Linked DNA regions of Caenorhabditis elegans. The protein of the gene in region 1 interacts with the protein of each later gene in a pairwise test. Each region holds a gene or a part of one and is shown on either strand. Other genes may lie near its edges.

Region 1 (16,236 bases):
AGTGATCAAAGAAATTTGAAAAAGTTTTGTATAGTCAACATTAGATCAAAATAATGCTTTCGTAGTTTGTTTATTTAAAACTTTTAATAATAATCTTTAGAACCTCAATCTTTTTGATAAACCAAAACAAATATTTGATAGAAAAATGACCTCTTTGATGTGGAATATAGTGTATTTTGTTTCTTTTTTGAGGAATTGTTCGCACTTTTCAAGTGGAAATTGGCGGAAAAAGATGAGAATAGAGTGGAATGAAGAGGCGGAACGAACAAAACACATTTGATGCGCGATCCCATTGATTTTTATTCGTAGAATTTGGATTTTTTTCATAGATTTTTCAAAATAGATTTTTAGACTCACGCTTATTCCTCAAAACATGTATCAACTCAGATGGGTCTCGTCGCGAGAAAACACATTAAGACATATGTTTTAATCTCCGTGATGCCAGCTGCTTTTATTCTGCTTTCCAACTTTCGAAAATTTAGTTTCAAAATAACTGTTTAAAAGTGGTAAAGTTGACAAATGTTAAGATAATAAGTTGATAAGTAATACTTAAGTTAAGTTGATTCCAAGGAAGCAAATGATACCAAATTTTTCTAAATCCTAGAATGAACTATTTTTTCGTGGCAAGACCAATCTTAACAGATCAGTTCACTTTTCAGAAAATTTGAAAATTACCATAACGTAAAGGTAATCAGTTGAGTCATGTAATCCCTTTTTTCTCAAAAATGTCCACATTCTGCAAAATCTTAGTTGCAATATGTCACAGACATTTGTCTAGTCTGTCAGTTTCAGATAAACTTTTCCCGTTTTTTCAACTTTCACAGCTAATTCGGGGTGTACTAACTAGAAGTAGCTTATTAACCAAATGTCATCTAGTTCCTTCTTTTATAATTTGATTAGTGGTTTTTTTCGAATATATTCTTTTCTAGTTTGTGTTTTGTCACGTATGACCTTGTTTCTTCAAATCAACTTGCTGCTCTCTTCACAAACTAAGGTCATCTGTTTCGTGTTAAGACCCAACGCTGAAAACATTGTCAACCTATTCGTGGCACGTGTCGCTCCCGATTTACACGTTTCTTTTTCTTTGCTCTCTTTTTCTATCTCTCTCGATCAGAGCACAGAAACCAGTGAGAAAAAATAGATGGCGAAAACAAACCCCGCCTCTCTTTTTTTGTGTGTGAAGAGAACCATTGGATCCAAAGGGGCCCCTGTTAACAATATATTTTTACTTTCTGAAATTCTTCTAAAGTTATCTGGAGATAATTATATTCCATAATTGATCACATAACATTTTAAAATGTCTGCAATGGCTGTACTGTATTCAGTTTGTCACTTTCATGGAGGCTGGAATCGTCGGAAATCGGCACCAGTAAGTTGAAAACTGATTTAAATCAATAGGGTACACTCTGTGAAATCATAGTGATATTTGAATAATCAAATGACTTTATGAAGCAACCCGCGGGGCTTCTGTATTGAGAAAATACACGATTGCATTTAAAACTTTGCGAACACAATTGTTTAATTGGCCAGCAAATTGAACATTCGTGATTCCTTTTTTGAACATGGGAATCCCACGTTTCATTCGTAACATCTTTTTCAATACAAGTTTTAACTTTTCTTTTCAGCTATCGAGTTACTGTAGATTTGAAAAGTTAATTTATCAACTAATGAAAATAAACGTATTCCATATTTCCATTAATAATAGATTTATTTAAAGCTTCACTCCATCTACATAAATTCATATAACCGAGCGCAACGCTGTCCTTATTATTTGAAAATTCTAATAAACCCTGCAAAATCTGGGTTAAAATCTTCTGCGCGAAAATGGAAGAGAAAAGTGTGTTCGGCCCGCGGACTAACTCCCTCCGTGTACTCTTCTCGGAAAAGAAAAAAATCATCTTTGCGCCCCTTACCGCCGCTCTCTTTCTTTTGTTGACCTTCTATCTGCGAATATATTGATTTTCTGGTTTATTTTATTTTGGAATTAACTGCAATTTTCACATGGAATGCTCTCGCGAAACGGTGTGTTTTCGAACGTTTTCCACAAATAAAATGAAAGTGAAAAATGCTAAAGGGAAACATTTATTTGTTCAGATTGTTTTAAAAAGTGCTTCACAATAATAAAATAGAGCATCTGAAAAGTAATTTACTTATTGCTTGTTCTGATTTCTCAAATGTCCTTTAAAAGTCCGTGTTTAATGTTTTACTCGTCCAAATTGTCCTTTTGTTTTTTAATTACATGTAATCACTAACAGCAATTTAGAAGTCACCTGTCACATCATCTCAAACGCCATCATCATCGTCGACACGCCGCCGAATGAGTCGGATTAATTTCAAAAAGTCATCGGCGTCGACCACCCCGACGAGCCCACATTGCCCATCTCCGCGGCTTATAAGTCTGCCGAGATGTGCTTCTTCATCTATTGATCGGAAGGTAGAAAATTAGCAACGAATCCTTTGTCTTGAATTTTTTAACACTAATTACATGTTACTTGTGGGGAATCGTGTTAATCTATTCAATTCAGAATCAAGCGTCCACTTCTCATTCCAAAGATTATCAATTAAATATTTATATGTAACTCATAATTATTTTCAGGATCAAGCTTCGCCGATGGCAAGTCCTTCAACTCCTCTTTATCCAAAGCACAGTGATAGTCTTCATTCGTTATCTGGACATCATTCCGCTGGAGGAGCAGGAACAAGTGACAAGGAACCGCCAAAATTCAAATACAAAATGATTATGGTTCATTTGCCATTTGATCAACATTCTAGGGTTGAAGTAAGCAAAAAATTCACTGTGAAACGAAGAAAATAAGCACATTTTGTTCAGGTTCGTCCCGGTGAAACCGCGCGGGATGCCATTTCGAAATTGCTCAAAAAACGGAATATCACACCTCAATTATGTCACGTGAACGCGTCATCTGACCCAAAACAAGAATCTATTGAATTATCGGTGTGATTTACTGGAATCTAACAGCATAATTCTTATTTTTGAATATTTTCAGCTGACAATGGAAGAGATCGCATCCCGACTGCCTGGAAATGAATTATGGGTTCATTCAGAATATCTGAATACAGTCTCATCGATTAAACATGCAATTGTTCGAAGAACGTTTATTCCACCGAAATCATGTGATGTATGCAATAATCCTATCTGGATGATGGGATTTCGATGTGAATTTTGTCAATTCAAATTTCATCAAAGATGCTCATCGTTTGCACCACTTTATTGCGATTTGTTACAATCTGTACCGAAAAATGAAGATGTGCGTTCAGAACAAAGGCGGGCGGCAATATTACAAAATTACCAATGTTGTCCCAACATTTGTCATTAACGTCGAAATATAGAAAACCACATTATTTATCTAATGACAACTTTTAATTATGTTTAAAGATCTGTGAAAATGCACAATAATGGCCATTTGCCATAGGCAATTCGCAACTTCTAGGTCATTTTTGTGCATTTTCATAGATGTTTAAACATAATTAAAAGTTATCATTAGATAATTAAGGTGGTTCTATATATTTTTTACACTGATTTTTAATGAAAAATGTTGGAACAACATGGCGTAATTGCTCACCTCTGCTTCAGAAACAATTCTTATCTAAAACATTTAATTTTCAGCTAGTGAAAGAACTCTTTGGGATCGCATCACAAGTCGAAGGCCCAGATAGATCAGTTGCCGAAATAGTTCTTGCTAATCTAGCTCCAACGAGTGGACAAAGTCCAGCTGCCACACCAGACAGTTCTCATCCAGATTTGACGAGTATTAAACGAACGGGTGGTGTCAAAAGACATCCAATGGCTGTTTCTCCACAGAATGAAACATCTCAATTATCTCCATCCGGACCTTATCCACGGGATCGGAGCTCTTCTGCTCCGAATATCAATGCGATTAATGATGAGGCAACAGTTCAACATAATGTAATAGTCACCAATTTTAAAAGAAAAAGTCTAAAATGTATTATTTTCAGCAAAGAATTCTTGATGCATTGGAAGCTCAGCGATTAGAAGAAGAATCACGAGATAAAACTGGATCGTTACTTTCAACACAAGCACGTCATCGACCTCATTTCCAGAGTGGACATATTTTGTCAGGTAATCGAAAACAGAAAACATAACGATTCGTCAAAAGGTCAGGGAAGAAAAACAAAATTCCAAATTTAAGACGTTTTTCTAAAGTTATAAAAACAATTTTTACTCTATTCCACCTTCAAGAATTTCCCAAACGACTCTAATTATTTTAATTTCACTTATTCTCAATTATTCAGGAGCTCGAATGAATCGTCTTCACCCACTTGTTGACTGTACTCCTCTTGGCTCGAATTCTCCTTCATCTACATGTTCATCACCTCCAGGTGGCTTAATCGGACAACCTACTCTTGGACAATCCCCGAATGTATCAGGATCAACGACGTCATCATTAGTAGCCGCTCATTTGCATACTCTCCCATTAACACCACCACAATCAGCACCTCCTCAGAAGGTAGAATTCAAAAAAATCTATTTTTCTTCAATTAAAAATGTTTAGATTTCACCTGGTTTCTTCCGAAATCGTAGTCGATCGCCAGGCGAACGACTTGATGCACAACGACCCAGGCCGCCACAGAAACCACATCATGAGGATTGGGAAATATTGCCGAATGAATTTATTGTAAGTTTATTCTACATCAGCAAGGGTGCACGGCTTTTGCAAACCGGCAGTTCTACAAAAGGAGCATGTTATCCTAATTTTTTTCATTTAAATTCAGTGATCGAATATAGAAAAAAAACATTTTATTTATCTGAAAATAGCTTTTTTTTTTACAGTTGAAGCAATAAAAAAACGCTCAAAACTTCTGTCAAAACTATTAAAACAAGCATTCTTTTAGATTCAATACAAAGTTGGTTCGGGATCCTTCGGTACCGTCTATCGTGGAGAATTCTTCGGAACTGTTGCTATAAAAAAGCTGAATGTTGTTGATCCGACGCCTTCTCAAATGGCAGCCTTTAAAAATGAAGTTGCAGTTTTAAAGAAAACACGTCATTTGAATGTTTTGCTGTTTATGGGATGGGTTCGAGAACCAGAAATTGCAATTATTACTCAATGGTGTGAAGGATCGAGTTTGTATAGACATATTCATGTTCAAGGTGATCTGAACTGAGATTTTAATTCTTATAATTTAATAATTTTCAGAGCCACGCGTCGAATTTGAAATGGGTGCTATCATTGATATACTGAAGCAAGTGTCTCTTGGAATGAATTATTTACATTCAAAAAATATTATTCATCGGTAACTGACCATATCTATAATTTATGTTTAAATGTTTAAAACATTTCAGTGACTTGAAAACGAACAATATATTCCTTATGGATGACATGTCAACGGTAAAAATTGGAGATTTCGGCTTGGCAACTGTCAAAACGAAATGGACAGTGAACGGAGGTCAACAGCAACAACAACCAACAGGAAGTATTCTCTGGATGGCACCTGAAGTCATCAGAATGCAAGATGATAATCCATATACCCCACAGTCTGATGTGTATTCTTTTGGAATATGCATGTACGAAATTCTATCTTCGCATCTACCATACTCCAACATTAATAATCGAGATCAGATATTGTTTATGGTTGGAAGAGGGTATTTGAGGCCGGATAGATCGAAAATTCGACATGATACGCCGAAGAGCATGCTCAAATTATATGACAATTGCATTATGTTCGATAGAAATGAGCGGCCAGTATTTGGAGAGGTGAGTGGGAAATACCGACTTTAGAAATTTGGTAGAACTATGATTTATTATGGGGTTATTCATGAGTGTCAAAAAACTTTTAAAAAATCGATTTTTTGTACTTTGTACATGTTTCGACAGCGTCGACGAGCGAAAAACTACAGTAAGCCGCCATGCGGCGAGACCATACGTTTTCATATGACTATGTCTCTTCAAAAGTTGTGTAAATTTACGAGCTGGGCGTTCTCCCCGTGTACACCGCGAGGACAATTCGGAATTTATTTTCTTCCAGTACTTCACACATTTTCGCTCTTTTTTTTCACATTTAAAATTGGCAGTTTTGTCTAAATATGGTGGCTTCCTTTGATTTTTCACTCTTTGACGCTGTCGAAAAATGGATAAAAACATGCTTTTAAGAAATCGATGTATTTTTTAAAAACATTTTTTTCGCTCATGAATAACTCCACTACACTGAAAAATCCAAAAAAATATTGTAGTTTGATTTTTAAATAAATTTTAATGAATGAATTCCAATTTTTCAGGTTCTCGAACGACTTCGCGACATAATTCTTCCAAAATTGACTCGTTCTCAATCAGCTCCGAATGTTCTTCACTTAGACTCGCAATATTCGGTGATGGATGCTGTAATGAGAAGCCAAATGCTTTCCTGGTCATATATTCCACCTGCAACTGCAAAAACCCCACAATCAGCAGCAGCAGCGGCCGCTGCTAACAAGAAGGCATACTACAATGTCTATGGTCTCATTTAGTTTTATTTTGTTTTTTTTTTTGAAAATCAAGGGACACTGCAACTTTTTAGTTGATTTTCTCGTCTCTCCCCGAATATGTACCTTTATTTTCTCTCTTTTTTCTATTCTTCCCAGTGATTTTCCCTACCCCATGTGTACACTAACCAAAAAACTTCCAGTCGAAGAATAATCTCGCCCATCGTTATTTTACTAATCATTTCTCGTCACATTGAATCCTGTTCTATTATTCACCCCCTCATCACCCATCCCGATATTATTATTATTATTTTAACCCCGTATTCACCGTTTCCTCCAAAACTTAAAAATCCCACCAAAATACTTTCTTTCCAGTCTAAGTCCGCCTGCAATCGTTCCCCCATGTGAAATTGTGATAATTTTCATATTTTTGTTTCGGCTAAACCGGTAGAACTTTTTCTTTTCCAACTATAATGCTTTTTATTGAAAACGTTTCTTTTGATAAGTTTTCAATGTTCCCACCCCATTTCCGTTTCCAAACATCCCAAAGATTCTCTGTATGTATAGAATTATATAGAATCCAATGCCTATCCGTTTTGTTTTTGTCATTTCGAACACATTTTGAAACTTCCATTTATTTTAATTTCAAAATGCAGCATCCCCATTCCTTTTCTGAACCGGGTTATTTGAATCATTTAATTTTTGCAAACAAAAAAAGTTGAAGATAAAATAATTTTTCGCCTGACTTCCTGTTTCTTCTTTTGAGTGGCTAGAAAAAGTGTAGGATTTCAGATTAATATTTTAAAATTTGAAAAAAAAACAAAACAATTTTGTTCCAGAGGATTCCACAGGATGTCGGACGAATGGGAACAGCTTACTGTAGAGTTGAGAAAAATTCCACGTGGCACCGAAGCTGCACCACAGTATTTGAGAGTAAGATTGAGAGGTGTTGATTTATCGAAATGAGAATAATTCCAGCATTTAATGAAAATGTTTGTCGCTGACTTCGAAACTGCTGTATCCAAAAGATTCGATGTAAAATTCTGGAATAAACTGAAATCAATGATGGATGAAATAACAAAAGCAATGGAAAATGATCGACTTGTTAATCATAATGTTCAAAATCTTGCAATTGGATTTTTGACTGATTTATCACTTCTTGTTCATTATCATTATGAAATTCCAAATTATGGAAACGATATCTCAAAACAATTAACATGGACACCAGATGTATTTCTAAACAGAAAACCTATCAAGTCGAAAAAGAATAGTCGAGTGTTCATGGCTTATGTTCTGTTAAGAATGGGAGATTTAATGAGATATAAGGTAGTTTTGAAATTTTTTCATAATTTTGGAAACAATGATGTCAAAATTTGTTTTTCGTTTTTCGAAGTTGATCCAACATGGACCAAAAGAAAAATCGAAAAAAAACCCGAAATTTTTAATTTTTCGATACCAAAAAATTCTAAAGAGCGAAGGGTGTCGTTTGGGTAGTATTTTAGAAAAATCATATAACATTTATTTTCAGGAGAACTACCCAAAAGCTCAGGAATATTACGAGCAATCATGCCGCATTAATCCAGCTGATGGAGCTGTCTGGAATCAGCTAGGATTGATATCTTCACTTGGGTAATATTCAAAATTCCATAGATTTCAGGAAAAAGTTTACAATTTTCAGTGCAAAAAACCTGGAAAGTGTCTATTTTCATACACGAGCTCTTCATGCCACTATGGAATTCCCAACTGCTTCTGGTGGCTTAACGAATATTTTCAAAAATTTTGCAAATCGAGGTACTGTAGGATTTTCATTGAAAACCTAGATATCAAAATATGTCTGTTTTCAGATATTTCAAGACCAATGCCTATTAAAGATCTATATTTATCCTGCCTAGGAAGAATTCATTTCGTGAGTTTAATTCAGAAAGATGAGTATACAAGGGTTACAGATTTCAGCTTCTAGAAATCGAAGATTCTTCTGTGCACCTACAAAAAATTGGAGAAGAAGCTGCAACTTCAAAAGAAATGATTGTTCCTCTAATGTCTGTATATAAACATCTCGGTTGGTTATTTTTAAATTTTATTTTGTTTTCATTAACATTAAAATTTTTCAGAGGACGGAACTGAACTTGAACAACGAGCCGTAGAGTATGTCAAAACTATTTGGTGTACGGCCTACCGAAGTCTCCTGAAAACTTTGGATGATTATAAGGAGGAATCAAAAAAACTGGCAGATGTTCCACATCTTCTTCATATTCTGGCACTTTTACTCTGTGCACCTAAACTCCTTCGCGGTATTGAAGACCAAACTGAAGATGAAGTAACATCAATTTGCGAATGGCTTCTATGCGCAAATTGTGATGAGAAAATCAAGGATTCTGATGCTTTTGGATATTTTCATTGTCTTCAAAGAATTCAATATCCACTCACTAGAACTCAATTGGCTCAGAAATTAGTTGAAATAGAGGATGAAGATGAATCTAAAGATTCCGATCAATCAACAATACCAGAAGAAGATCAGAAAAGCCTTTCTACAGACACTTCAAGAATTCAAAACGAGGATTCGGAACCTGAATCTGAATCTGAATCTTCGGATGAGGAAGTTTTGCAACGTGGCCGTCGGCGTGGAAGAAATCCGAATCTAGACGAATCAGTCGAAACGGATGAAGATGAATTTTAATGATATCATATTTTCGAGTGTAATTGTGATATAATTCCATTGATTCCAGAACATATTGTCATAATTTTTGGTTTTTTTTCTTTTCATGCTACATAAAAAATTAATATAATTTTGGTCTATTGCAAAAAGAAACGATCTACAACGTTGAAAAGTTCGGATTAATTTCAATGAACGAATAGTTTATTCATGAGGATTATAGTCTAGTAAATTGCAATTTTCACACTTTTTTGTATAATCTCTTCCTTGTTCATTTCCGCCTTCCCACGCCAACCTATAAATGTTGCACGGGGCGAAAGTTTATTCATTCAATTGTTGCGATCATAATGGTTCGAGTTTTACTTGTAGCCATTGCTCTTATTGCATTGATTGTTCAAGTCGACTCCGACTCAATGCCATGGAGAATGATTATGGCGAAGGTTTGTTTGAAATTAGGACACCGTCATTTAGGTGAAACTTGAAATTATGTGCTACATTTTTAATCAATCGCAGTTTTCCCTGTGAAGGAAATTTCTTTTTTTTTTGGAATTCGTAACCTTTATAAACTTAATTTTCTGCACCAAATAACCACAACTCTACAATTTGGCACATGTTACGACCGTTATGAGATTGAGCGTGGCGAGACCTATTCAAAAACTGCGTGTGCCTTTAAACTTGTGTGTCAAAGCTTTGCAAAACAATCATATCAGCAGTGGGGAAAGTGCTTAAAATTACTGATAGGGTCCTAAGGATCATAGGTTAACAATGGCCAAATATCAAAGCATATATTTTTTTTGTTGACAATAAGAATATTTTTGTAGACAAAAAACCATGGTTTTCCTCCAGGTTTATATATTTTATGGTATTTGTAATTACGTATCATTATTTGAACAATACATATTGAGATTCAGTTCACATCATTGCTCGAAATTACTTTAAAAAACGTCTAATTTGTCTTTAAATTAGCACTTTTCCAAAACTTTGACTTAAAAAACTAATACATTGTAGAGTTCTTCATATTCACTGTCGCTGCTGCAAATCGAAATATTCTGTGGCAATCTAATTCCATTTTCACCATTTAAATTCTGATTCGAAACCCGAAAAGCACTGAGAAGCTATGATCAAAATAACAAGATTCCTCTCAAAAAGCACGATTTTAAAAGATGGAAAGATCAGACTAATTCCAAACAAATAAAAAATAGTTTGTTGAAGGATTGCCCTTGTTTACTTCCGAGACTTATATAAAAGTACAAGATACGGAAAGAAAGTTCATTTAGTCATTCAGAAATGATTCGAATTATTACTGTATCTTGTGTATTGATTGTTTTATTTCTCTCTACAATTAACTCAAATTCCATGCCATGCAGACAAGTGTTTGTAAAGGCATGTAGATTAAAAGTTGTAGGAAACATTCTTAATTTCCAAAAGTAATTTTACGATTTTACGACACCAATTTCCCTTTTCCAAAATTAATTTTAATGTTCAAAATTGATGAGGCTTGCAAAATAAAAATTATCGGTTTCACATTTTCAGCCTGGAGATCGAGTGGAAATCGGATATTACAATCCAAAAAACATTACGAGATTTGTGAAGAATGCAAAAGGAGTCGGTCAAGAACACGTTTTCAGAGTTTGTAATGGAAAGAATAAGACAAAATGTGGTTTTTGGGAGAACGTTAAGGTAATTAATTTCATATTTTTCGAAAAAAATCTAAAGCTTCAGACAAAAAAGAAGGTAGAACCAAAAACTACATACAACAAGAAGAAGAATCTATTGATTATTCAAAAAGTGTCAGCACTTGATGCAGGAACTTACAGAACTCCAGAATATGATACAGTTGATCTTTATATTCAAACTGATTAGAAACTTGTTAAATTTGCAATAAAAATAAATCATGAAAGCGAGCATATGAGGTATATTGTTTCTCAAGAGGCTTTTCAAGATTCTCACTGGCTCTGCGTACTTGCAACAATTTAGTGACTTTGTTATACAAGCTAACTCGGCTCGTCGCACAATGCTCCTTAATACTTTAATTTGAATCAAAACGCAATAATTTTCACCTAACAAATTGGAATTCTGAGAGTTTCTGACAGAAAAACGTTCTCAATTAAAGGTGATGTAGTCGAATTTTTTATTGCCTTAATAGACTCAAAATTGTCTGAAAACTTTTTTTTTTGAAATCGCCGTCAAATTTTGAGTATACAAGTTCATTATCTTGCGTTTTAAACTAGATTAAGGTATTTAAAAGTCGATGGACGGTGAGATTTTTTTTAAAACCTAAACTCGCTGTCCATCGACTTTAAATACCTTAATCAAATTTAAAACGCAATATAATCAACTTGTATACTCAAAGTTTAACGATGATTAAAAGAAAATTGTTTCGAGCCGCTGCTACATTGACACGTCAGTCAAATTTCCGATTTTAGCTAATTTTAGGCCATTTTTTTGACCCGTCATAACTTATTTCTGAAAAGTTTTCAAGAAGTTTCATTGTGAAAGTCGGCGTTTTCAGACGATTTTGAGTCTAATAAAGCAATAAAAAAATCGACTACACCACCATTAACAGTTTATTTGATAGTCTGAAAATTCTAAACTGAAATGCAGTCACTACTTTTGAACATTTCAAAATTATCTCTGGGAGAGTGCTACAGTGCATTTTTTTTGTTACTTCTACGACTTTAAAGGCGCGCGCATTTTCGCGCAATGGTCTCGCCACGCGAATCCCATTGATTTGTTGAGCGCGTGGCGAGACCAATGACGGGACCATTTTGTATAAATGCGCGCGCCTTTAAAGTCGTAGAAGTAACAAAAAAAATGCACTGTATAATAATTTTCAGATTCTGAAACCAATGTTTGTTTAACTCTATTAAGATGGAATAATCTAATTTCCGTCTTAATAGGGTTTAGAGACCCGATCCCCCAATGACCATTGTCTTCCGGAATGGGTCATTCAAAAATCCAGTAGCTTCCAAACATACTGATAAAAATATACGCAAAATTAGTAAGTTTTCAAAACATAAAAAATTAACATCTGAATTCAAATTAACTTTTTCAAAAATCTTAACGCATCAATTTTATAAAAACTTTTGATTAAACAAAAAGTGAAGCATACAAAGCTTTATTCGTTCCGTTAAACCCATAAAGTATTCAATTGTATATTTCTTCTTTTCTCTATTGCACAATTTATTAATTGAGTGAAGTCCAAGATCGTAGCTGTGAAATGTATTAAACGTATTGCTTCTCATGTAACTGGAAAGATTTCTGATTACAAAAATTGAAAATAGTGAAAAGGGATGCGCACCAATCCGTTCCTAGAAAGTCACATTGGGAAAGCAAAACCCCCACAAGGGACAGTCCACGTTTAACAATAACTAAAAACTATTTTTAATTGACATATTAGAAAAAATCAAACTTTGCTGCTTCATCCTTGCAATAACCAAAGGACCTTTTATTCCAGATGGTCCAATCATTTCTTCCCCTACCACTATTACTGTGAACACGTTTTACAAACTGGAAAAAGTAAAAATGTCAAAGTTTCTTGTAAATACAGTGTCGGCCAAAAGTATATGCGTTTTGTGTTTTTCAGTGATTTTTCAAAATTTTCAAACCAGTATAACTCTGAAACTATACGTTTCGGGAAGAAAAGTTAGACTAACAAAATGTTGCTCTTAATGTTGTCTACACGATCACGTATTTATTAGGATTATAGAATAACCATGTCAATAGATACAGCGCCCGACATCTCGCGAGTCAATTTTTGACGACTTTTCGTAAAACGCTTGTAGTTCAATAACTAGACGTTTTCATGAAAAAAGTTTTAGTAATAAAATGAACCACATTGAATAGTACATTGTTTTCATATAACCATTTTGTCTACAAATGATCAGCATTTCAGATATTAACGTTCAAACTGGCGTCTCCCAAGTGCTCGTTTTGCGCATATGTTCAAAAAGTGGGATACGTTTTTCAAAAATCATTTTTTATATATGTATCTTAAGTAACCAATATGGCAATGAAATTTAATTTACAGTTGAACTAAAAAACAATGTGGAAAAAATTTTTTCCACCATCTTTATGAAACATGTTTAATCTTGACTATCAGTAGGTTATTTCGAACGCTAATATCTGAAATGCTGACCATTTGTAGACAAAATGGTTATATGAAAACAATGTACTATTCAATGTGGTTCATTTTATTACTAAAACTTTTTTCATGAAAACGTCTAGTTCTTGAACTACTTATTCTACAATCCTAATAAATACGTGATCGTGTAGACAACATTGAGAGCAACATTTTGTTAGTTTAACTTTTTTTGCCGAAACGTATAGTTTCAGAGTTATACTTGTTTGAAAATTTTGAAAAATCACTTAAAAACACAAAACGCATATACTTTTGGCCGACACTGTACGTAAACTTTTGCTCGTTTACTTTTTTGCTTTTTATCAGAAACTCTACGCGTGAGTGAAAAAACAAAACCAGTGTGGATTTTAAAGTTTATTTCAAATATTTTCAAACTCAATGGCCGACTCGGAAAAAGACGCCTATTCCCTTTACGCCAATGATATGTAAGTGATTTAGGAACTTGTTTTCCATGGTAGGCATGCGCGGTTTCAAGGCCTGCGCGGTTTCAAGGCCTGCGTGAATCCAGCTTGCCTCTCGCCGCTTTTCTGAATTTTGCGTTTTGGCGACTATATGGAAGCCCTATTGAGGAATCCAGGAGGTCCCACCGACTTTTTCGCTCCCCTTCTCGGCAAGTCGTCCCAGCTTTCTCCAGCATTCTGCCTGCTTTCAACAGCATATTGGCCTTTTTCACATTAGCCCTATAGGGCTAACTATAGTTCTACCCCGTACTTTGCAGCACCTTGCGGCGCCTCGCAGCACTTTGCCGCACCTTGCAGCTTTTCGTAGCACTTTACCGCACTTAGTCGCAATTTGCCCCATTTCTGAAGAGATTGTACTTCTTCAAATTTAGGAAATGTTTGATGCACAGACTAGGATAAAACCGTTCTCTAATAATCTCCCTAGTTTATTTTATGCATCAAAAATTTGACTAGAGCTTTTTTGTTGGAAAGTTCAAAAAAGTTTGCAAGTAATTGTGTATAATGTTCAACGTTTGAATGCTGTTCCAAAATTGTATCTGTCAAAAATATATGATTGAGTATATTTTACTGTTTTCTTAATTAAAAAAAAAAACGTAAAATCATGGATTTTCGATTTAATTTCATTAAAATATCCGAAAAATGTCAAAAAACGCCCATGTTTGCAACTTTTTCATGGTTTTTGCTCCGTCCACAATGGTTACCCTTTCTGTATATCCAGTTGTCAAAGGTTTTCCGAATCGGTGGTGCCTCAAATCTAGAAAAGGATTAGAATGAATTAAGACCTAGGATTTTCAAACGTAGTCAAAACGAGGATACCTTATAATCATCATTGACTATATATAAATCGCTTATTCTGTGTGTCCATAGTTTGTAGTCTATGTAGTCTGTAGTCTGTGAAGTTTTCGCTTCTGGAGGGATAGTGAGTTGGGGTTAGTGTAGGGATATGGCTGGGGTACTGTAGTAGTACTGTAGGGGTACTCTAGGAGTACTGTAAGATTACTGTAGTTTAAGAAAAATATATATTAGGGGTACTGTAGGAGTACGGAAGAGACACTGTAGATTTAGGAAAAATCAGTTACTCTCCTTCCGGAAGCTTCTAAAAATCTTTGAAAAAAATCTGAAAAAATCCTTCCGGAAGCTTCTGAAAAAATCGAGAAAATTCTGAAATCTTCAAAAAAAGTTCAATGGAATTATTCATCTTGGCTTTCTGAAAAATGTTTTAGGGGGGGGGGGGGAATTCAGATTTTATGAGAAACGTTTTTGGCGGGAAATTCAAATTTCCTGAGAAAAAATACTGGCGGGAATTCAAATTTTATGAGAAAAGTTTTTGGCGCGAACTTCAAATTTTCTGAGAAAAATTTTAGGCGGGAAATTCAAATTTTGAGAAAAGTTTTTCGCTGGAAATTCAAATGCTCTCAGAAAACAACTTCCTAGAAAAATCTGGAATTTTCAAGAAAGGCTAGGAACATCTGGAAAAATCAGGAAACTTTTAGAATTTTCTAGAAAAATCTGTAAACTTCTAGAATAATCAGGAATTTTCTAGAATTTTCTAGAAAATCTAGAAACTTCTGGAAACATAGGAAACGTATAGAACTTTCTGTAAAGTCCGCAATACTCCAGGAAAATGTGTGACTGTACATAAAGCTTATCACTTCACAATTTTAAAAGTAAAACAGTTCAGCGTACACCAGTCGGAGCACGCGCTTTGCGCGCTTTGCGCGTGCGAACGGCTGGTAGAAGAAATGAATAGTTGAAAATCAACAAAATTAAAATTCTTTTCCAGATTTAATGGCTACACAATCACCGGCAGGGTTGGCCAAGGATCATTTGGCCCCATATTCTCAGTTTCAAAAAACCATAAAGATTATGCTCTAAAGATCCAGCCGCGAAAAATCAATGGCAAACCATCAACCGTACAAAAAGAAGTAAGTCAAGATTTGTGAAACAATTTTAAATAATAAATGAAATTATAGGCTAGCCTCCTGTTAAAGTTAAATCCACACGGCGATAAGTATTTTCCGACTTTCAAAATGGCGGGTGAAAATGTGAAATGCGCTTTCATAGTCATGAATCTGCTTGGACGGAGCTTGAAAGACTTGCGTCTTATGTCGCCAAATCCGGACAGCTTGACCCCTGGAACGTGGAGCAGAATCGGAATTCAATGCCTTTATGTGTAAGTTAAAACAGCTTAGACAGTTTTGATATTATGACTCAAATGTTTTCAGCTTGAAGCAATTGCATGATGGGGCAGTAGTTCATGGAGACGTTAAACCTACAAATTATGTGCTTGGAAACCCGACCGACTGTTTGAAAAGCCGCATATTTTATTTGATCGATTTTGCGATCGCCCAAAAATTTATAGTCAATACAGGAAATGGATTCGAATACAACACTGAAAAAAGAAAATCGAAAATTTTGTGCGGAACCCCCCGTTAATGAAGGCAATAGTTAGTTGGAATAAATATCGGCAATTAATATAATTGGATTTTTCAGGGCCGAGTGGATGATTTGTACTCTCTGTTATATATGACTGCAGAGCTCA
Region 2 (15,768 bases), 7.2 Mb from region 1:
AATTTGCCCTGCGATATACTAAAATGAACGATTTAGAATTGGAAAATGAGCTTTTGAAATGACACCAATAAATTGGTCGTAGTCGTTGTATATCTATCCATATATATATTTCAAAAATAAAAACACGGATTGAAGCATTTAGTGGAAGAAGGAGGGATGAAAGAGCAAGTGTTCATTCGTAGTATTTGAATTGAAAAGAAAGGCAGACGGGGGAGGAGCTAATGCTTTCGGTTCAGTTATTTTTCAGGGAGGTTGAGTTGCAGGTTGAGAAAATACATTAATACTTTTCACTCTACTAAAGATTTTCGAAAAATTCTGAAAGTTGGAATATATTCTTTATACCAAAAATATACTAGTTCTCAACACAACAGTTCTCAACACGTAATGCCAAATTTATTAATTGACCACACTTATCAACAATTTGAAACAGTAAAGAAAAAGGTTATTTTTAGAAAATTAAAAAAAAATTAATGTTTCAATAATATTTGAATATCGGTTCGTTAAAGCTATTCTCATTAAAACTATTCGTTAAAACTATTCTTTTGAGAGGTTGTTTTTCTACCACCACAGAATTTCACAGGCTCAGACTGCAATAATATCGCTGAGATTTAGGAACAAAAAACCAATTTGAAAATGAATTAATCAAAGTAAAATCTATGAGAACCCCGAAAATGAATTCTCCAGCTGCTGGGAAATGTTCAAACTTTGAGAAAAAAAAGGTGAGCGGTTCAATTCAATAACTTTTTTTTCTCTAGAATATTGGTTCAATTCCATCTCAACTCAATAAAAAAGTCAATTTTATTTCATATTATATTCCGATAAAAATTGGATAGCCAAAATGAAATTGGTAACCGTTTTAGAACAAATTGAACTTTCAAGGAATATTGATACAAAAGTGGGATGTTAGTTTGTTGAACATAATAAAATAAAAAATATGGAAACGCATATAATGACATACTGAAACATGAAAATTAATGGAATATTGGAAATAAAACTCCGATGTATGAAAAAAATAAAGTGGAAGCATTTTTGGAGTTCTTTAGAAATGTAAATGCCGAAATGGATTTTTTTCAGAAAATTTAAAGTTGTTTCTACTGTTCCACTTTCATTGTTTAATTTCAAACAAAAATGGAAAAAACGCAGGGCAGTTGCAGTTGCATGTATATTTAAAAAAAAATCTTTTAGTGCACGATTTTTTTGAAATAAAAAATTGAATTCATCTATAATTGATTTCACAGAAATTGTCTATATTGTAGACTACATTTTGTAACTTCTCAAGGAAAAATTATTCTTGACAAAATCTTGCATGGTGTTGCATGGTACAAAACATATTCGATGACTCACAAAACATTTGAAATTTTCAAAACGGGATATGAAATGCGAGTAGGCATAACAATTAAGTGTCTATATATGGAAAGTGTGAAGATACACAAAATTTGAAAATTTATGTATAATTAAATATTACTTTTTTGTTCATGTGTTTAGTTTATATTGGCAACGAGAAACCAATCAGAATCATACAGTGTCACTGTCACTGTTTTTTTTTTATTTTTGCGTGGTTTCCAAACAGAAAAGATGTATTAATTCCACCATTTTCTGAAGTCTTATTTTTTAAGAAATGAAAACAGTAACTTTTCTGAAAAAAATTTTCTTTTCAGAACGAAAAACCCGTAAGTTCAATTCAATATTTCTTAACACAATAAAAAAGTACATTTCATTGCATAGTACACTCAAAACAAAAAACTGCGTGGCGTGTACTGCAGAAAACCTAATATTTAGGCCCCGCCTTTTTCTCGTCCACTCACGGAGAAAAGGCAAAAATTTTGACCTAAACCAATATCAGGCCGCCGACATCTCACGGGTTCCGCGCGCCTAAATTGCATATTGATGGGAGAGAGAAGGATGATACAGGCGCGTTCAATTTGCATCTCCATTAAATGGAAAAAATTGCGAAAATTATCATTTAAGGGAAAAAAAATTCCATCTGAGCGTATTTAACAGCTTTTCGTAATTTCTAATCAACTGTGCAATGTTTTATAAAACATTCACATATTTTACGGGCAATCAACTATTCTTCCAATGCGATAGATGTTTTGGCAGCGTTCCAAGAAAATTCATTTTCAGCCAATTCTCTCAAAAGTTGAAAAATTTGTATGTTGCCTATGAGCGGCAGATTAACTTCAAAAAACAACGATTTTTATAAATTTCTGGCAAATTTTATTGGACTTATTACAAATTAAGTTACAAATTTGCAACTAGAAAGTGAGTCCATGTCAATAGGAATATCATTATGCGTTTCATTTCTTCCTACTAAAAACCACACAATGAAACATGAAGTAACGAAATTTTCAATTTTCTAAAGTATTGAAAAAAAATAATTTTATTCTTGTAAATTTCCATTTTTCCAAATTGCACTAAATAAAAATTAGAAATGTAGAAAACTTGATTTAAAAATATATTCCAAGTCAATTTACATATAGAAAAATTTAAATAAAAGGCTAAAAAAGTCAGTACGCTTTTCAATTTTCCATGCATAAAACCACACTTTGAAACATGAAATAAAAAAATTTCAATTTCCTAAAGTATTGAAAAAAAAGGAATTTTATTCTTGTAAATGTCCATTTGAGACATCTTTGTACCCAATTTCCATTAAGCAAATCACATGTTCTTGACCCTCGAAAAAGATTCAAATTTCTCTTTGCAACAGAAAAAAAGCACAACCCGGTCATTTTCCCACAAAAAGGCCAACTTACTTTTCGAAAATTGCAGTTTTTGATTCCATGATTCCGGGAACAGAATGGGGTGACGGAATGAGAAGAATGAAAATGTTTAGATGTAGATGAAAAACAGAAATGAGATGCAAAATGAAAACCACATGAAAAAAGAAAAGATTTTGGTGGTTGACCAATTTATCTCTATTTCTCATTGGCTCACAATCGATCACTTTTTGACAGCTTGATCTAACTCTTGAGGTACTAAACTGAAAATTGAAATTGGAATTCAAATATCATGTTTGATCAGGTAGAAATAGTTGAAATTAAAAGCAGGTACTTCCTTATATAGCACAACTGTTAAGTGGAATTGCAATTTGACAACGTTCTGAAAAAGTGCAAAATTTTTTAGATTTTTAAAAAATTTTCTGTTTCAATTTTCGAATAAAACAATGTGTGATTAAAACAATTTTATTAAGTAGTGTGATGTTATAGAAACCCAAATTAGTTTTTTGAGAAAGACGACGACTATGAAAAGTTTCCGGTCTGTAAATCTACCAAAAACCGGTAAACTTTCGTTCTGGAACATCATGGGAGGGTCTCACAACAAAACAAAAAACATTTGAATCATTTTTTATATCCTTAAAACATATAAAATATTGATAATTGAAACATTTTCTACTTATTCTAATATTTTATTTATTTTTCCTAAAATAAATCTATCTACTCCACTTATCTCTTTGGTGTCTTCCAAACATTGCATTGATTGAAAATTAAAAAACTGGAAGCTGGAATTATATCTTAATTTTTTGAATACAACTCTCAATAGTCCAATACAACTTGTGAGCGCATTTGAAATTTAACAACTGTGCGAAACAGTGATTTTTTAAAATTATTTTCGTAACTGTTTTTAAAATTTTTATGTTTTATATAGTTTTGAAAACATTGGAAGATAAATAATAGCTAGCTTTGCTTTCATTTAATTTTCCAGGCACCAAGAGAGCACAAAAAACATTGCAGAATAAATTTAAGTCATTTGAGCCAAGTAACCAATTGTTTTTTATTTTCTAGCCTTTTGAGGTTACTAATTGGAAGTTGATAATTTAGAAATTGGAATTAATATAAATTTTTAGTGAACAAAATTTCTGCATTAGAACAAACTTGTAAGCGTAGTTGGAATTTCACAACTGTTTGAAACAGTGCAAATTTTTTTAGATTTAAAAAAAACTTCTGTTTCAATATTTGAATAAAACATTGTGTGATTTAAACAATTTTTCATGAAATATGGTGATGTTGAATGTGTGGATCATTAAACACTTTCTACTTACTCTAATTGTTTATTTATTGCTCCTTGCATAAATCTACTCTACTTATCTTTTTGGCGTCTCCACAATTTGATTAAAATTGAAAAACTGGGAATTGGAATCAAATCTTAATTTTTAGAATACATAACACATTCGTGTTATGTATTTTGAAAATATTAGGAGTTTAGTAATATTCAGTTTGTTGTGGATTAGGCATTTTAGGTACCAAAGGCAGCGTTTTTTTTAAAGTTATTTTCTGAACATTTTTCTTATTTGACAAATGAGTTGTGTATAAATTGTTATTTCACAGTATCCTCCCATATTTACAGTTTTTGAATATATTTCCCCATTAAAATTCAAAATAAAATTATGCTGTAAATAAATCAATAAATTACATTTTTGTTTGAGAATCACACTATATAATTTTAAAACATGCTTGTTATCAGGAATTTTCCGCTTACATTGATAAATGTGAGTATTTTCAATTTTTTTTACTGTTTCTAATTGTTTATTTGTTGTTCTCAAAAAAATATCTACACTACCTTTGGAATCGATTACAAACTAAATTCTTTTTTTTTTTGAATGGTAATTTGATTTCCTATAAATCTGTTCATCAGTACTTTTGTAATAATTGTTTAAATGAAAAATTTTTAGTAAGTCACTTTTCGGTACAATAACAAACTGTTTCTAAATTTCTAAAGAGTAATTGAAAGATCACAACTATTTGAAATAATATAATTATTTTTGGATTTTTTTTGATAAAATTACTGATTAAAATTGCAAGATTAAATTTTAAACCGGTTAACTTGCTAGCTACTCTTGTTTTAGTTCCCAGAGAGATATGAAAACTTGTTTTTTCTGAAACATCTGTCAAAGCTGGAAAACATTTTTTCGGAAGGTCTCCTAAATATGCGCTTCAGGCAGCGTTTTTCAGCCATTTGTAACTGTTAAATTTGATATAAAAAGTTTGTTTCGCTGTGTCGAAGTATTTTTCCATATTCACATTTTTGAATACAATTTTCCCATAGTATACGTCAATTAAAATTTTGTTTCAGATTTCTCTTGTATGGCTTTGAAACATTCATGTTTATCGAGAATATTCTGCAAACATTGATAAATGTGGAACTTTTTTCTATTGTTTCTAATGGTTCATTTATCGTACCCAGAAAAATCTTTCTACTGCCGTCTTTGTTTTGGCTTTTAAAAAATTTTTATTGAAAATTGAAAAGCTGAAAATTGGAATTGAAACACCATTTTTAGTCGAGCAAATTTTTTCTCCGTAAAAAAACTGGTAATTGTAATTGCAATTTGACACCTTTCTGATAATTTGTTTATTTTTAATTCTATAGCTTTTTATATTTCCAAAACTTGTATGTTTCATATAGTTATGAAAATATTGGAAGATTAAGTCTGTCCCATTCTGTGCTTAGCCGCGTTATCAAAAAAAATAGTTTTTCAGGCACCAAAAAACACGCGAGTCACAAAAAATAGAACTAATTGGAATCTTAAAAATAATTGGAATCTCTTCTTTCTTTGCTCTACAGAAAATGGACTAGGTATATATTATCTTAGGAAATTCTGACGTCACAATAGTATCTTTAACAGTGTTTTAACAACATTTGAAAAATCAGAAACTTCCAGAGCAAAAGGTTGCGGCACTTCCTTGGATCAAGCACATATGGAACATAAATAACATACAGTTTTACTTTTTCAACAAAAAAAAACTCTGCTACTTTTATAGATAGCTTTTCTCGATTTTATAAGTAATTTCATTGATTAATCGACCCATTCATCGAATTCCTCCACAAATCATTTTCAAAACATTTATTGAATTCGTTAATTACTGAATCTAATGGCGTGTTCATTGTCAACATCGTACAGTTTACTTTTTTTCAATTGTTTTTTCATCCTAGGAAACTGTGCTTCAGAAAATTTAATTATAATTGATTGCACATTATAAAAACATGCTTTCAGTTACCTATAGAATCTATTACAAACGCAATTCATAATTTGAATGGTCATTTGATTTCGCACAAATCTGCTCACCAGTAATCCCTTTCCAATTGTTTGTGGGATTAAAATTCCAACAATTTCACAGTTTATGTTACATACATCAAAATTATTTCTGACCTATTTTTGCATTTTTGTGATGAGAATTTATGTTTTATTGTTGATTCTTTTTCCAATCGGCAGTTTATCACTGCCAATGTTTTTAAAATGGTTATTTTGCACATGCTGTTTTGAAACGGATATATTCGATTATCTTAGTGAGTATAAGATACAATTTGAACAAATTAGACTCTTCCGGTGGAAAAAGTGAATACTTAAAATATTTACGCACCTTTTAAGCTTGAATGAGACAGTTTGTACTTTTGTAAAAAAAAGCCAAAAGAAAATCTGTATTGAAAATTTGAAAGAACTCCCTTTTTGAGTTAGTACTTGTTATAGTTTCCCATTTCAGAGCTACACAGAGATCTTTCTAGATTTATTTATGGCCAGCATTTGGTAATAGATACTGTGGTTCGTTCAATCAAATCTCACTGGCATAATGAGCATCCTCAGAAACCGTTAGTTCTCTCATTTCATGGTGGGCCGGGTACTGGAAAGAACTATGTGACTGAAATCATCGCAAAAAACACTTTTCGGTAATTGTTCAAGATTTTGCATACTTTCTGAAAAAAATGCATTAGTGTTTCAGAAGTGGACTTCAAAGCCCATATGTGAAGTATTTTGTTGCAACAAAGGATTTTCCAAACAACAAACATATAGAGGATTATAAATTGAAACTAAAAGAACAACTAATACAATCTGCCGACGGATGTGATCGATCCATTTTCGTGTTTGATGAGGTGGATAAATTACAAAGTGAACTGGTTCAAACAATCAAACCTTTTCTTGATTTTTATCCAGCCGTTTTTGAAGTTGACTTTCGAAAAACTACCTTCATTTTTCTAAGCAACAAAGGAAGCTCTGAAATTGCGAACATTGCATTGGAACATCGTCGAAATCTTAAAAAACGGTCACAACTCGAGTTGAAGCATTTTGAACGAACACTTATGTCACATGCATTCAATGAGAAAGGTGGTCTACGAAACACTGAATTGATCTCTAATCAGCTTATTGATCATTATATCCCATTTCTTCCCTTATCTAAGTTCTACGTTTCCCAGTGCATTCAAGTACATCTTCGAAAACGCGGAAGACATGATTTGGCAAAGGATGGAGAATTCATGCAAAGAGTTCTCGATTCTCTTGAATTTTTCCCTGAATCTAGCAAGGTATTTTCCTCGTCAGGATGTAAACGTGTAGATGCAAAAACTGAACTAGAAATTTCCAAGATGGGATTCTCACTCAATTCGGAGAAAGAGTTTAATGATGAGTTGTAGTTTTTTTTCTGTTTCAAAATGTCCAGAAATTTGTTTTCATTCTAAGTGTTTAATTTTTTTGTTGATTTAGCAACATTTACAAAATTGAATGAACTCAATGATGAGTTGTAAATATTTCCCCTGTTTCAAATTGTCCATAACTACGTTTTTATTGTATTCATTTTATTATTTAATTTTGCGAGTAGAAAATGATTTTGAACCAGATACTTTTACCTCCACCAGGTACTCCACCTTTCATAAGTTAATTAGTTTTTATTATCTTTGCATTAAGCTTGAACTGTAGTAACTGCTCAAAATAAAATTGAATTGGTACAAAAATGTTTTTGAATAAAATCAGCCCTTTTGAAATGAAAAAGTTCGCTGAAAAATGGTTTCTATTGAAATTTAAATTCTATGTTCAATGTTTCTTTATCTTCAAATTTCGTTATCAGTGCATCAATCTATTTTTCGGTGTGATTTCTCATGGATATTTTGATGTTAGCAAGAATACGCAGATAACAAGCGACATCTTCTGTTCCATTTCATTTTCCTTTACTTCTCACTTGTCAAATATTTTGTTTTATTCTGAAAGAAAGATGCAATTTTTTAAATATATTATTTTCGTTATCATTCTTAATCAATTAGTCGTCGATGTCCACAGCTTATCAATGCCAATGTTTTTAAAATGTTTATTTTACACTTGCTGCGGTGAAACGGATATATTCAATTATCATGGTGAGTAGCAATATTTTAAGAAATTCAGTCAAAATTCAGAACACCATGCAAATTGTTTCTAATGTAAAACACAGCTATATACAAATTTTGAGTTGTGCTCCGTGATAAGGAGCATTTTTCGCACTTTTTTTTTTGATACTTTTGAAAGAAAAACCGTTTATTTTTTAAATATTTTTCTAAACTTTACATTTCAGCGTTATACAAAGATTTCGATAATAAAATTTTCGGGCAGCACTTGATGGCAGAATCTGTAGTTCATTCAATCAAATCTCATTGGCACAATGAGCATTCTCAGAAGCCGCTAGTTCTCTCATTTCACGGCGGAACCGGCACTGGAAAGAATTATGTGACTGAAATTATTGTGAACAATACTTATCGGTAACTTTTCATTGCTTAAAATTTTTTTGAGAAACAAGTTTATGTTTTAGAAGTGGAATGCACAGCCCATTTGTGAATTATTTCGTTGCAACAAATAATTTTCCGAATAAAAAGTATATTGAGGATTATAAATTGGAACTGAAAGATCAACTTATAAGATCGGCCCGAAGATGTCAGCGATCTATTTTTATATTTGATGAGACGGATAAGCTACAAAGTGAATTGATTCAAGTGATCAAACCATTTCTTGATTATTATCCGGCGGTCTTTGGAGTGGACTTTCGGAAAACTATCTTCATTTTTCTAAGCAACAAAGGGAGCAAAGAAATTGCTAATATCGCATTAGAACATCATGAAAATGGTAAAATAAGATCACAACTCGAGTTGAAGCATTTTGAACGAACACTGATGCTTTCTGCATTCAATGAAGAAGGTGGTCTTCGTAACACTGATATGATCTCTAATCAACTTATTGATCATTTTATACCATTTCTTCCCTTATCTAAGTTCTACGTTTCCCAGTGCATTCAAGTACATCTTCGAAAACGCGGAAGACATGATTTGGCAAAGGATGGAGAATTCATGCAAAGAGTTCTTGATTCTCTTGAATTTTTCCCTGAATCTAGCAAAATATTTTCCTCGTCAGGATGTAAACGTGTGAATGCAAAGACTGATCTCGAAATTTCCAAGATGGGATTCTCACTCAATTCGAAGAAAGAGTTTAATGATGAGTTGTGAAAGTATTTTCTCCTGTTTCAAGATGTTGATAAATTTGTGTTCAATATTTTTTATGGTTCGGTGTTCTCTAAGGCTTTAAGTGGTTTGAAGTTCCAAATACTTATTAATTTGTTAATTTATGCATGTTTTTCTTTTTTTTAAATATCATTATCATCCTCAGATGACTCCGCGGAAAAATAGTGGAACGATGGGAATGGAATTCAACAAGAAAACTCAGTGTGAGTTTTTAAAGTTTGTAGAACGCCAAAAAATTTTGTTTTCTTTAATTTTTTAGGCAAATTTAGAATAAATTAAAAAATTGTAAACTTATGCAAAATTAGATTCTAAAATAGGTAGCAATATGTACACAAAAAAGATAGCAAAAAACGTAACGCCTGCTGTAGGTAAGGCCTATCTAAAAATCTACCTACAATGTAATCCGTAGTTTTCTATTCAGAAATGTAACGATTTCCAGATTATTCGCAATGCCAATTCTGCACTTTGAAAATTTGGTCAAACACGGAAATTGTTCTTGCTGGTGGAAATGTAATTTGCAATTTGTGCATTGCCGAAAAAAGCCGTGAGTTTTTTCCCCTAAAAGTCCAGAAATGTAACTATTAACAATATACATGCTACTTCAGATGCCGTTCAATTCGACAGAAAATATATGATCAAAACATTATCAAAGACATTTTCAAGAAAGTGGGAAATCTCGAATAATTTAATAATGACACTGCTGATTCTTTTGCTCTCTGCACTTTTTTTTATATCTCAAGGAACTTTTTCAATGCTTCAAAATGAACCAAACCAGGTTTGATTTTTCCACATAACTTTGTTCCTTTCGACAAATAAATTTGCTTATTTACAGGATCGAAACCCCTACCAAAACTACATAGAATCAGTAAGATCCTTTGTCAATTCGGATTTCTCAGATATTTCAAAAGAAAATCGGAATCTTTTGAGATTAATTGGTGAACAAATGTTTTTACATCCAGATGAACATGCTCCGCTTGTCATAGTTATTGCTGGTTTGAAAGCTAATGAGTTTTCTGAAAAATTAAACAAGGCAATTCAAAATTCTAAATCAGAGACAAATTCAAATAATTTACCAATTGAAATTGGAAATCAACTTGAAAGAGGAGAGCTACATGCAATATTGAACAATGGTTAGTTTTTTTTTAACTGTTTCACCAAGTTCATTAATTTTGGGCATTTTTGACACTTACGTTATATAGTTGTAAATGTATTTTTCCGAAAATCTCTTGAAATTTATTTCACTTACCACTTTAGCTCTCGCATCACAAATGACACCTAGAACAGCAGTCCTGACAAATATTGATCTTCTTGCATGGGATGCAGTTTTAGTGCTCCATGCCTTTGCGGACCATGGAACTTTTCCCATCCCAAAAACTGTACTCCTCCTAGCAGTATCAACAGAAGAAACTACTTATTCTGGGAATAGTTGTGATGGGAAAATTTTGAAGTAAGTGATTTTTATTTTTAAAATAAAAAGCAATTAAATTCCAGGCTTGTAACGAACCGCTGGATCGAAAATGGAGGAAACTATGACAATATTCCACCAATTGTAGCCAGGATTTCATATTTTATGTGCTTATAATAAAAATTATTTGTTTAAAAATTTAGTTTTTGTTTACTTGGAAATTGTGAAAAAATATGGAATTTTTAAACTTGGTTACTGCAATTTTGTTCACCGGGAAAAATTACTGTTTCAAAAGATTTGTTTAATTGAAAATCCTCATGTTTATTTGGTTCCTTTATATTAAAATTTTGATTAGAAAAATATTATTCACGAGAAAACAAAACAAGTTTTTAAGTGTTTCTGTGAAAATTTAGGGCAGATCAAGTGTAGATCACACAAAATTTTAGGGAAAATCTATAGAAATGCACATTTAAATGTGAAATTAGAAGAAGATATAATATGATCTACGTGTGATCTACTCAAATTTTTCTCAGAAACGCTCAAAACCAAAGGCTGACCGCGCGACAAAACGATTTTGAAAAAAAGTCCTCTTCGAACTCAGAGAATTTAAAATTTAAACTATATTTTGTAAACAAAAACAATTCTTTTTCCTGTTTGTTTTTTTCATCATAACTTTTTATCAGTTTTTCCGTTTATCAATTTAGGGTTCAGTTTACGAAAAAAATAAAAATATTTACATCAATTTTAAAGCCTTTTTCTTCAAAAAACTCGTATTCATTGATGACATTTTCGGTTCCTCATTATTAGTTTTTTTTTGCAGTTTTTTTCGGCATTTTCTTCCTCGATTTAATTCCCTCAATTTTGTGTGCACACAAGTGCTTTTTTTTGTGTGCGTGTTTGTTGTGTCTTGCCCCCTCCTCATCCCGTTGCGTCTCCTCAAAACATGACAAGTAGTTGAACGATAGAGCGAACTTGCATCTTTCGATTTCTCGGCTGGTGGGGCGGGCGACGTCGCAGCAGCACGTCTTCTTCTCGATGAGAATATCGATTTTTCATATCCCAACACGCACTTTTCATGTTTCAATTGTGATGGCTTTTCATTGAAATAATCCTTTTTTTACAACTGGGGTTTTTAGCTAAAAATTGGGAATTTTTGAAAAAAAGAAAATTTCACAAAATTGGTCTCTGGCTGGTCTATCGCTTACTAATTGTTTATTTTATAAAAATATTGTTTAGTTTCTCGTCTCACTGACGAAATCCAATCTAACACCATAGAAACTATAAACATTTTGCAATAGGAACTAGTGTTCTATTCGAAAATTGGAAATTTAATTGAATTTTTGATGTAATTTTCAAAAAAAAAGCTTGACTAACTCCGTCTGCGTCTGAACACTTTTTTCTCAAATTTTCCAAAATTTTGCAGTATGGCCCACCTCTCGTGGGTAAGAATTTCAAATGCCACACAAGATCCCGAAACGCGGTGTTCTGTAGCCCAAGATCAGATTGTTAAGGTGGTCCGTGAGGAGGGGGATTGGTCAGTGCCACGTGGCAGTGCCAATTTATAAAATCTTAACATTTCTAGGTGTCACATTCAAACCATCGAAGGGGTTTCCGGTCGGGTTCCCAGAGTTCTTACATTGCCCATCGTCGACCCGAAAAGGTTTTTGCTTTCTCTCTAAAAGATTGTCGTTTCACAAGATTTTGAAATTCCTTCTTAAAGGCGCACGGATTTATTTAGATGGGTCTCGGCGCGAAAAAATTTTGCGATTGTTTCTTCGTTTATTATGCGAATTTCACCGCTTTGTTTTTAAATATCAGTTTTCAAAGTACAAATACACTCTTTTTCTATAATTTAAGATTATCGATTTCCTTTTAACTTAAATGATTTTTAGCTGACCGAGAAACAGAAAAAAATTTTAATACAAATTTTCTCTGTGTTTTGAGCACTGAAATAATTTTTAACACGAAAAAAAGACTACCACAAACTTATTCGCGCGCCGAGACCTATCTGAATGAACCCGTGTGCCTTTAAAATAGCATGGCAAAATTTTGTGAAATAACAATATGCATTTCATTTTATCTGAGACTGTTTCTATATTCTTGCAGACAACCTGACGAGCAGGTGTATTGCTCAATTGAAGCTTACACCTCTATCCGCTCCGATGATCTCTCATTTGCAGAATTTTCAATCTTTGGTATATACTTTTTCCAACAATTTATTTCTCTAATTTTTGCAACCAATCAGTTAACTAACCAATTTTATCAATCAATCACATTTTCAGTAGCAAAACCGTCGCGTTCAAATCCTGGTTATCTGGACGGATTCCTGGTGAATGACAACGCTGTTCAAATAGGACGCCGTGGATTGTTACCGGAGGCACATTTGGTCAATTTGCATGTTTCTGCTGAAAGTCCGATGAAGCCGTCATTCACCACGGATTTCAGTGAGGCTGATGTCCGATTTCGGACGCCTGCCACTGCTCCGAAAGCGGCAACTTCGAATTATGCAGTGTCGCCGTACGCTAGAGCTGTTTATGATTTTCAGTGAGTTTTTACGTTTAATGAATTGAAATTTTTTTTTCAAATTCAAAAACACATTTAAAAAATTTGTCTTCCAACGTGGTGCCCACTTTCAGTTTTTTTTCGTTGATAATTTCGCTAATTTTTACCAATTTTAATGCTATCATCACTAAATTGTGCTCGAAAACCAAATTTTTAATAGAAAGTGCGTAACAGTAAATCAATATTTAAATCACTTTTCAAATATGCCAAATATTTGCATTAAACACATCTCTATCAAAAACCAAAAAGTCAGGAAAAAATATATATGGCAGTTGAAACGGGAAAAGTGTTACGCCTTTTTAAACGATTTTTTCACAAATTTTTGGATTAAATTGGTTAAAATACATAACTAAAATATGATTTTATCATGGCCGTTGTAAAGAAAAAAGTTAGCACGTGCAAGAAATAAAATATTACATGAAGATTAATTTATTTTTACAAACTTTCCATTAAAAATGTGGTTTTTGAGTTGCAGTAATAATCTTGACTCACAAAATATCTGACGCTTTATTTTTTGTCATGACTGTTTTGGGTCTATGAAAACAAGTAGAACTAGTTATAGGTAATTTTTTGTTGGCTGAGCATTTTTCAATAACATTCCTAGTTCTCGAGTTATACTCATTTAAAATGGATACTTTTTTGGCCAGTACTACTGTATCTTATTGTGAAATATTGTCACGTCAAAGTAGGATAAATAATGTGTTTTTATTCAGTTTCAAAATTCATTTCAATCTTCTCAATATTCTAATTTATCTATATATTTTCCAGAGGCGAATTTGAAAACGAGCTCTCTTTCTCTGCCGACGAAATCATCAGCTTACGTCGTCGAATCGATGCAGAATGGCTTGAAGGATCGATAGGATCTGCTCGTGTCGGAATATTCCCCACTTCTTTCGTTCAAATCATCGTTGATCTACCTGACGATGACACTACATCGCTTCAAAATAACCGACGAAGCACGACCACCGAGAATGATGGAATCGGATTTGCGAATGTTCGGCACGCGTTTTCCGGTCGTCAAGGAGATGAGCTGACTGTGAATGCTGGAGACACTGTTCGAGTACTACGAATGGTCAATGATGAATGGGTTATGTGCAAGGATCCAGATACAGAGAAGACTGGAATTGTACCTGTAGGATTTTTAGAAGTTTATCTGGATGAAGAAGATGACGATAATCAATCTTCAAATGCTATGAGGCGTGGAACTGGAGGGACCAGCGATTTTACGGTGAGACTTGAAGAAAATAGGTTTTTATAGTTAAATCAATTATTTTTTTTCAGTTTGGTAGCTCCAACAATCGTTCCTCCTTCATCTCAAATGCTGAATCCTCATCCGATTGGAGACCACCCGCTGGAAGAACAAACACCGATTGGGCAACCTTTGAAGCAGTTCCACCGGCAGCGCCTGCATCAAAACCTGCCCAAAATTGGGCAACCTTCGGCGAAGAATGGATTGCTCCAGTTCAGCTAGCAAAGACTTCAGCTCCAGCCCGACCACCACCTCCTAAGCAAAGTTCTATTCAATCACCTATCAATGATATTGGCAACGTGGCTGACATGTTTGGAATGACAGATACTCCAAAACCAAGTAACCCTGCGATCCAGTCTGCTGGCAGTGACTTCGAAATTGGACTGATTTCCGCCACCGAAGGAGCATCAAATGATGAGGATAAACGATGCAGAATCATTGAGGAGTTGATAAGCTCGGAACTACAGTTCATCAGTGATATTAATTCCTATACAGAGGTATAGTTCAGGGGTGCACGGCATTTCAGCAATCGACAATTTTATCTTCAAAAATTTTTATACTGTTTCAAAATTTTCATTTAAAGTCTGACGAAAAGTCTATGACACTAATACGTCTGGGCGTTTACTTTCATTTACTTTCAGCAATTGATCTTTTCAGAAATTTTCGCCATTTAGCAATTTTTTCTCCTGTTGAGAAAATATATTAAGTACTATCTTAAAATGGCTTTAACACCGATGTGTGTTGTTTATTATTTATTCAATCATCACATTTCAATCAAAAATAATTTCCAGGCTGTAGACGGAACTCCTCTCCTGAATCAAAAGCAAAAGGTTATTCTGAAAAATGGATGTGCTCAAATTGTACAGCTCTCGGCTAATCTTGTCCAACTTCTCACCAATGAGCAGAGTGAGTGCTAAAATTCCAGTTTTCAGTATTTTATTTTTTTAAAATGTTTTCAGTCAAACCACAAGATGCTCAACTAATCGGTGCATGCTTCCTACAACTTCGAAAACCATTTGCTCAAACTTATGGTTTTTACTTTAGAAATATCGAGCATATCAATGCTCTTACCAACTCGGCGGTAAGCTTTTACCTGTTGTTAAAATTAAAAGTATATGAATTTCAGAAACATGAGAAAACTATGGAATCAGCACTTCAGGATATTGTTAAACGTATGCGAGAAAGTGGATCCGTTGTTATTGACGGACCAACTGCCGTTTCGAGACCCATCCAAAGAGCCACCAAATATCCGCTTTTCCTGAATGAAATTGTCAAGGTTTTAGAAAAAATGGCCTTTAAGAAATTC

What was found.
Region 2: the proteins of smg-7 (region 1) and gei-18 interact in a two-hybrid assay, tested with the Caenorhabditis elegans proteins (one study listed by BioGRID).

What each region holds. Positions count from the first base shown.
Region 1 is NC_003282.8:6,733,486-6,749,721, reverse strand, and holds smg-7 (DNA/RNA-binding domain-containing protein), read left to right. Parts: upstream 1-7,278; 5' UTR 7,279-7,291; coding exon 7,292-7,372; intron 7,373-7,417; coding exon 7,418-7,765; intron 7,766-7,967; coding exon 7,968-8,068; intron 8,069-8,117; coding exon 8,118-8,230; intron 8,231-8,283; coding exon 8,284-8,345; intron 8,346-8,392; coding exon 8,393-8,498; intron 8,499-8,550; coding exon 8,551-9,116; 3' UTR 9,117-9,191; downstream 9,192-16,236. Other genes in the region: lin-45 (Raf homolog serine/threonine-protein kinase), read left to right, coding at 1,298-1,369, 2,264-2,434, 2,597-2,779, 2,831-2,953, 3,006-3,266, 3,626-3,925, 3,976-4,099, 4,273-4,487 and 5 more; Y73B6A.3 (TransThyretin-Related family domain), read left to right, coding at 9,440-9,532, 10,626-10,772, 10,815-10,955.
Region 2 is NC_003282.8:13,976,147-13,991,914, reverse strand, and holds gei-18 (GEX Interacting protein), read left to right. Parts: upstream 1-9,389; 5' UTR 9,390-9,391; coding exon 9,392-9,449; intron 9,450-9,685; coding exon 9,686-9,790; intron 9,791-9,851; coding exon 9,852-10,021; intron 10,022-10,078; coding exon 10,079-10,376; intron 10,377-10,438; exon of another isoform or gene 10,439-10,459; intron 10,460-10,500; coding exon 10,501-10,693; intron 10,694-10,737; coding exon 10,738-10,828; 3' UTR 10,829-10,853; downstream 10,854-15,768. Other genes in the region: egl-23 (Potassium channel domain-containing protein), read right to left, coding at 2,754-2,782; tor-1 (Torsin), read left to right, coding at 6,222-6,282, 6,477-6,660, 6,714-7,401; tor-2 (Torsin), read left to right, coding at 8,055-8,115, 8,310-8,493, 8,544-9,231; dnbp-1 (SH3 domain-containing GRB2-like protein), read left to right, coding at 12,076-12,185, 12,234-12,311, 12,758-12,846, 12,934-13,195, 13,982-14,441, 14,495-14,959, 15,254-15,368, 15,422-15,543 and 1 more.